Linked DNA regions of Xenopus tropicalis. The protein of the gene in region 1 binds, or shares a complex with, the protein of each later gene. Links are inferred from orthologs where the notes say so. Each region holds a gene or a part of one and is shown on either strand. Other genes may lie near its edges.

Region 1 (3,930 bases):
GGCATCTTTGGAGGCACAGATCTTCCCTGCTAAAGGGTTGTGGTTGCCTTGGGCTGGTACAGAGACCAAAACATAATGAAAAACATTTCTAGCCTAGTCTTTAGTTAGACTGTATTTCTCTTTTAATAAGTGAGGTGAATACAAGTCATTCGACGAAGATGGAGCAAATTTGCCTATAAAAAGTGGTCAGAATCCACATAAACTGTGTAAATATATATGTATCCCACAAATGTCTGGAGTTTTTTGTTTGCTTGACTAGCTCTTGTCACAATAAAAATATATTTTCCAGTTTTTATGTGTGTGCTAATTATACTGTGTAAATCTATGGTAAATATACCAATTAAAAGAATGTTTCATTCAAGGATATTACACACCAACATGTTGTAGTGTCTAAGGTTGGTAACTGTTTATGCAAGGCACTGTACAAAGTAGAAAATGGAAAACGTTTTCTATAAGTAACAAGCAACTTACTTCTCATATTAACATCGATTGGATTTAAACTTGTAGCGTGTACTTTAATGATGACTTCATTGGGGTAATTGATGACAGGAAATACCATGTTGCTATTGAAACGCATCACGTCATTGCTCCCATACTTGTCTATAACCCATGCAGGCATGACTAGATTTCTCTTTAGAGAAGTGCTGAATTCCTGAACACACGAGCATCTTTGTTTCGCAGTTTTAAAGATTCCAGGGTCACCGAATCTGTGGCTCTTAATTCCACTAATTAGGTGCCATCTAACAATGTTAATCATTTTCGGCAGAGGTACAGCAGTAAAGCTAGTAAATGCTACGTGCACTTAATACTGCAGTAGAAAACGTATTCAAAAGATTTTCATAATTATGATTGTAGAAATCTATGCAGGCATAATGCGTCAACAACTAATAATATCCAAATATATAGTCATTATTCTATTGCTAATGATGCCCGATGTCGTGATCGCTACTCTTTTTTGCAGTTGTTATTCAATTAACCTCTCTTTGCTGCTACAAGTCTTCTTTTCCCCGTGTCCTCTATTAGCTTCCGCGTTCCAAGCCTCGTCCCTCTCGTCAAATGGAAACAGTGATAATTCAGCGGCTAGCCAATACCTGCCCTCGGCTTTAGTTCTATACGTGTTTGCCAATCAACACATGGCAGCTCCCGGTAGTTTCAAGACTCTTTGGTTGCCTTTCATGTCTGCTGTACACTTTACAAACCGGTGACAGTTAAAGGTTAAAATGCTGGGAATGAGTTTACGGGAGGTGAGTGAGCTTAGAGTACACATCGTAATTAGAGAGCGGAAAAGGAACTGTACGATATGGTAAAATACACCTGGACTGTACAGGAGAGTTTCAATTTAAATGCTAGACACAACTCTTTTCTTAAAGAAAAGTGATGAATTGAAATATATCGCTATGGCCACATTCTGTATTTAAACCTATTAACTTAGATGTGTCACAAAGAAGCAGTCCTTTTTATTTTAATAGTGTTTGTTTACAGAGCCAATCCTGCACAGTATCTGACCTCCTGGACCAAGGGCCCTTCATCTGCCAATGCACTGTGCCTGTATGTGGAATGACAGATGAAGCTGTCAGAGCTGTAAGCAAGTGGTGCCATGGAAGGGCCTATGCACAGTGGGCATTCAGGGACATCTGAAGCGACACAATGACGCCACTAGGCCATGCTAGGGTTGCAGGGCTTAAAGGAGAAGGAAAGGTAAAAACTAAGTAAGCTTTATCAGAAAGGTGTATGTAAATACAGCCATAAGCACTCACAGAAACACTGTACTGACTTCTCTGTGAAAAGATTTCTTGTGTCGGTAATTCCTGTGCCAGACACGCAGCTTTCTGCTCTCTCCTCTCTCCTGCTCCCCCCTCCCTCAAGAATGCTAAGAACTCACCCCCCCTTAGGAATGTGGATCTGAGCCAATCAGGAGGAAGCTGACTCATAGTCTTACTAACTGAGCATGTTCACTTGGGTGTCTGTGCAGGAGTGAGGCATTATGGGAACTTTCTTTACACAGCTCAGCATTTTTTCTTCCTGTTTGGCTTCAGATCTTCTGAACAGGTGAAATTTGGGGAGACTTAAGGGCACTATTGAGACAACTGAAGGTATGCCTGCAGCTTGAGATTAATTCTTTATTAGCCTTTCCTTCTCCTTTAATATTGGCCATATATTGATTCCATATCCTGCATGGTTAATTAGTAATTCATTTAGATGCATGTGGCAGACTGAGCTGATTCATCATGTGTAGCCTTGCAGCATGCACAATGAACTGCTAACTAGCCATGAGGAGAATAAAAGGCTAATAAAGAGTTTATCTTAAACTGCAGGCATACCTTCAGGTCTCTCAATAGTGCCCTTAAGTCTCCCCATATTTCTCCTGTTCATGATCAGAAGCCTCATAGGAAAGAAAAACACTGAGCTCTGTAAAGAAAATTCCCATAATGACACACTCCTGCGCCAAGACCCCTGTACATGCTCAGTTTGTAAGACGATGAGTCAGCTTCCTGCTGATTGGCTCAGATCACGCATTCCTAAGGAGGGGGAGGGAGTTATTAGCATTCTTGAGGGAGGGGGGAGCAGGAGAGAGCTGCGCAGACTCTTTCACAGGAATTACAGAGACAAGAAATCTTGTTTCTTTTGATAGAGGACTAAGTGTAGCGTTTCTGTGAGTGCTTATGGCTGTATTTACATAGACCTTTCTGATAAAGCTAACTTAGTTTTTACCTTTCCTTTTCCTTTAAGAGGGGATTTTACAGAGGAGCAGGACAGAAAAGAGAGGGCTTCACAGGGCTCAAAAATTCAAATTTTATAAAATGATTTTTTTTCTATGTATTTGATCGTGGCTGCATTAACCTATATTGGTGGCAATTCAATGCTATCAAATTTAATTAATGTATAAATGTTATTTAGTAATGGTGATCCAGTGTACAAAACCAGAGGTCTTACATATTCTGGATAATAGATCATGTGCCTGTATTACGCATTTTTCAGTTGGGCCTGAATAAGTGCTAAATAAAGTATGTTCGCACATATTTCTTTATTTGTTTGGCATCAAAATCTGTGCACGCACAGATTTTATATATGTTTTAAACATCCATAGACCAAAAGTGTCCTCGAAAGGTGTTAGCTTTTCAAACAGGAAATAATATACAAAATAATTTTTTTCTAGGCAGCTGCTGCGCTGAGGCTTGGGCAAATAAAACCTACTGAGTTGTGCCAGAAGTGTCTTTCTTTTATCAAAGAAACATCATTCCTTAATGCTTACATAACTGTAACTGAAGACTTTGCCTTAAAGCAGGCAGCAGAAGCAGATGAGAGATTCATCCAAGGTAATCTTTATTTGTTATTACCAAAATTGGCAGTATCAGACTAAGGGGCACATTTACTAATCCACGAACGCTCTGAGCGTTCGTTCAGCGTATTTTCGGCGACTTTTCCGTACCTGCGCGACTTTTTCTTATTTTATTTTTTCGTACTTTGCAACAAAATTTGTGCGACAAAATTGTATTGTCGCGCCAAGTACGCAAGTTTCAGATTCATTCAAGCTTCGGTATCGTGACCCCTTGGGCCAGGTTGGAGTTGCACAGTGCCATTGATTCCTATGGGAGGCTTCCAAAATCATGCACAGAAGGATCAAAGTCGGAAAAGTTTTCCTGCATTTTACGATCGTTCGGATATGAAAATTTTGTGACTTTCAGATCGCCAATGCGATATTATCGTGACTAATACGATTTTTTCGTAAGCATATTCGTGATATTTGCGATCTTAAGAAATTATCATATCCGATCCGAATTTATCCCATTCGGGATTCGAACTTACGTTTTCATGAATGTGCCCCTAAATGTTTATGTTTTTCGGGGGAGAAACCTTTGCTGAAGGTGCTTTAGAAAGTTTGGGAGCTATTACTATACATTACCTTCATATATGTCCGTCATTTTTCAT
Region 2 (3,036 bases), on another chromosome or scaffold:
AACCATATGATATAGAATAAAATTGCAATGAGGCTGAAAACAGCAACAGGAATAGCAAAAATGAGTTAAAAATACAGTGAAAGAGTAGAATCCGAGGTTGATTTGTTTTGCTAAGGGGGGGCACATAAGGGATATCTTCTGGTTGGACACCCCACTGTACACTGTTTTGCTGCAGTCTGTATTTCTAGTTCAGCGCTGCACCTCGAGATTTAGCAATAAAACCCCTTTACACACCAAGCTTCCCCCTGGCCGGAAATGTGAAGATCAATTTTTACTAATTAATCCCCTGAAGACACCATGTGCTTAACCTTAACCCCCTAAACACACAAATATATATGTATGAAGACAGCAAATACTCGCCGTACAAACTGATTGTTACTTTGTTATTTATTATAAAAGTATTTTTCATTTCTAGGCGTGCAGGGGATATGACGTTATGGGCCCACTCTCTTCCGGGGCCCGCGTTGGGTCAGGAGGAGCCGTCGGATTCTGTTTTTGATTTACTAGGCCCCATAAAGTCCACTCCGTCCACCGGGATGTCCTTGTCCTTAATGGCTTTCTGAATAAAGGAAAGGGTATTAGTGCGCTGCTATAAAATGCCCATGTTATTATCACTATACAGAGTGCATTACCCACCTGAACACAATCTCTATACCGCCTGAAGAGCTCGGTGCACGGATCGCCACTACATTCTCCCTTTAAAAATTTCTCCGCAAACCAGCGGTTGAAGCACTGGTCATACTCCCGCTTCATATCCGTGCATTCCTCACCCACGCTGTTCATGCTGCCCGCAACAAACTCCTGACGAACACAGGTATTTCTTCACCTCGCAAATCTTTCTACGGAGAGCGAGATGCCGCGGCAGCCATCTTGTCCTAGGGCAGAGTCGCGACTGTCATCTTACAACACAAGCACGTCTATTGGCTGAAACCTTTTTTTTTTTTTATAAATGGCCGCCATCACCTCTTCATCAAGGTTACTGGAGAAACGCACGGTGGTGGTTCTAATATGACGTCATATTAAAGAGCCGCGCAAAATGTGGTTCCGAGCGCCGCTCTGCACCGCTTGGATTTCTGGTTTCCGACGTTCGTTGTCGGCGCAGAGTAAGGTATCATTTAGCTTATAATGACACTGCGCGTCAAGGTTTAGTCTAACGAATATCCTTGTACGACGCTGAAGTCGGGATTCTTATGTAGATATACCAGCTCACGGGCTTCCAGCTATTGCTGGACTACAAACTAGTAGAAACCGCTGTTGGGGATTAAGATGTCGCTATTTTCAATTTATAGGTACCGCCTAAACCAACATGGGACCTTCAACCCGAGATCAGAAACCAGGTGCGCACTCATATGCATGATTATAATTTAGTGCATAACTTAATTATGTATTACGGTTTCTCTATGCGCCCCCTACTGTTCATGTGTGCTCTATTCCCAGGTCATGTTAATCAAGAAAAGTATATAAATGTAAAACTACCTCTAAAGACAGACTATATATCACGTACATAATACATTTTACCAATTTTCAGAAACCCCTGATTAGCCTAGACACAATTGACCATCTTGAGCGGCTAGCATTAGTGGATTTCGGAAACGTAGAAGGCGTGCAGCGGCTTGAGAAGGCCATACAGTTTGCTGATCAGCTGCACAATGTCAACACAGAGGGAGTGGAACCTTTATCATCTGTGTTAGAAGACAGGTAATGTAATCTATATCTTCAACCATATCTCCCAATGATAAGTCTAAAACAACTGGACTTGCAAAGTAATCTTGAACATTTCACTACCTAGTAGTAAACTGTTTTAAGATTATTCAGCAAGTCCAGTTACTTGACACTTATCACTAAGAGATACTGCATAAATTAATATGTTATCATTTAGCTACCATGATAGAGCAGCAGCACAGGCTTGATACTACTGCTAGATTTATATATACTTTTTTGTGAAGAGGCAGTTTCAAGTGTTTGTAATGTGTTTTGCAGGACCCTATACATAAGAAATGATGCAGTTGCTGCAGGAAATTGTACCGAACTGCTCCTAGAAAATGCCAGAACTGTTGTAGAGGAATATTTTGTAGCACCTCCAGGTATTAAAGGTTTATATTTATATCCACAAACATTAATATAGATCCATTAGATGTCCTCATTCTCTTTTCTCCTCTTAATAAAAGGTAACATCCCTTTACCAGCTCAGCATGAAAGAGGTCTGTCTGAAGTCAAGAGCAGCTCCTGAACATCAAGGACCGGAATAGAAACAGCATAACAGCTTACTGTTTATTAGGACAGCTACAGATGCTTATTTTTATTTAAACTGAAACACTTTCATAATAAAAGGAACATACGTACAAACTTGATTGTGAAGAGGATTAAAAAGTTATTCCAAACTATACCTTTCTAACATACTGATGGCATTTAACTATATGTAGGACACATGTACTTTCCCTTAAGGTTGCATTGGTTCCATTAGCATTCTACTTGTTAGTTCCAGTATAGCAATTATGCACAGCGCATTTAACACAATTTCAGATCAGGCCATCCCTTCTTCCTAGGAGGCACAATACTATCTTTTGCCTTCTTGAAGATAGAACTTAAAAGAAAAAAACACCACACACCTTATGTCAAGAAAACATTTCTTTAAAAAAAAAAAAAAAAATGGTATAAAAGTTGATGAAATCCATCAGTCGTGGAATGTTGTTCTGAGTAGATGGGATTCAGAATTCAATTCATAGAAAGTGTCCCTATGGTGGCAACTTAGTACGGTCGAAAGGGAGAAGCATAACGAGGCGAGCGGCGGCTTTGATAAGGGGAATCACGCCCTCTTGAACGGGATCTGGAACGGGAGTAGCTGGTATTTCTCTCTGGGCACACACGGATATAAGAAGTTTCACCCTTTGGGGGAGAAAAAAAAAAAAGTTGGAAAAGAAAGTAACAGCCCAGAATGTACCCTATGTAAATATAAAAATAATGCTACCTCGTGGGAGCGGAATTTTGTATCATCTAGCTTCCGCAGAGCATACTCCATATCTTCTTTGCGAATAA

Evidence for each region.
Region 2: qrsl1 (region 1) and gatc share a complex: the UniProt entries of both Homo sapiens proteins name them as parts of the heterotrimeric GatCAB amidotransferase (AdT) complex. The link is inferred for Xenopus tropicalis from reciprocal best matches to the Homo sapiens genes QRSL1 and GATC.

Annotation. Positions count from the first base shown.
Region 1 is NC_030681.2:79,129,553-79,133,482, reverse strand, and holds the start of qrsl1 (glutamyl-tRNA(Gln) amidotransferase subunit A, mitochondrial), read left to right. Parts: upstream 1-1,171; 5' UTR 1,172-1,220; coding exon 1,221-1,244; intron 1,245-3,157; coding exon 3,158-3,317; intron 3,318-3,930. Other genes in the region: rtn4ip1 (reticulon-4-interacting protein 1, mitochondrial), read right to left, coding at 472-619. UniProt on the Homo sapiens protein: Allows the formation of correctly charged Gln-tRNA(Gln) through the transamidation of misacylated Glu-tRNA(Gln) in the mitochondria. The reaction takes place in the presence of glutamine and ATP through an activated gamma-phospho-Glu-tRNA(Gln).
Region 2 is NC_030677.2:151,738,365-151,741,400, forward strand, and holds gatc (glutamyl-tRNA(Gln) amidotransferase subunit C, mitochondrial), read left to right. Parts: upstream 1-1,005; 5' UTR 1,006-1,036; coding exon 1,037-1,108; intron 1,109-1,289; coding exon 1,290-1,337; intron 1,338-1,528; coding exon 1,529-1,698; intron 1,699-1,980; coding exon 1,981-2,084; intron 2,085-2,168; coding exon 2,169-2,230; 3' UTR 2,231-2,351; downstream 2,352-3,036. Other genes in the region: triap1 (TP53-regulated inhibitor of apoptosis 1), read right to left, coding at 470-559, 637-783; srsf9 (serine/arginine-rich splicing factor 9), read right to left, coding at 2,749-2,886, 2,969-3,036. UniProt on the Homo sapiens protein: Allows the formation of correctly charged Gln-tRNA(Gln) through the transamidation of misacylated Glu-tRNA(Gln) in the mitochondria. The reaction takes place in the presence of glutamine and ATP through an activated gamma-phospho-Glu-tRNA(Gln).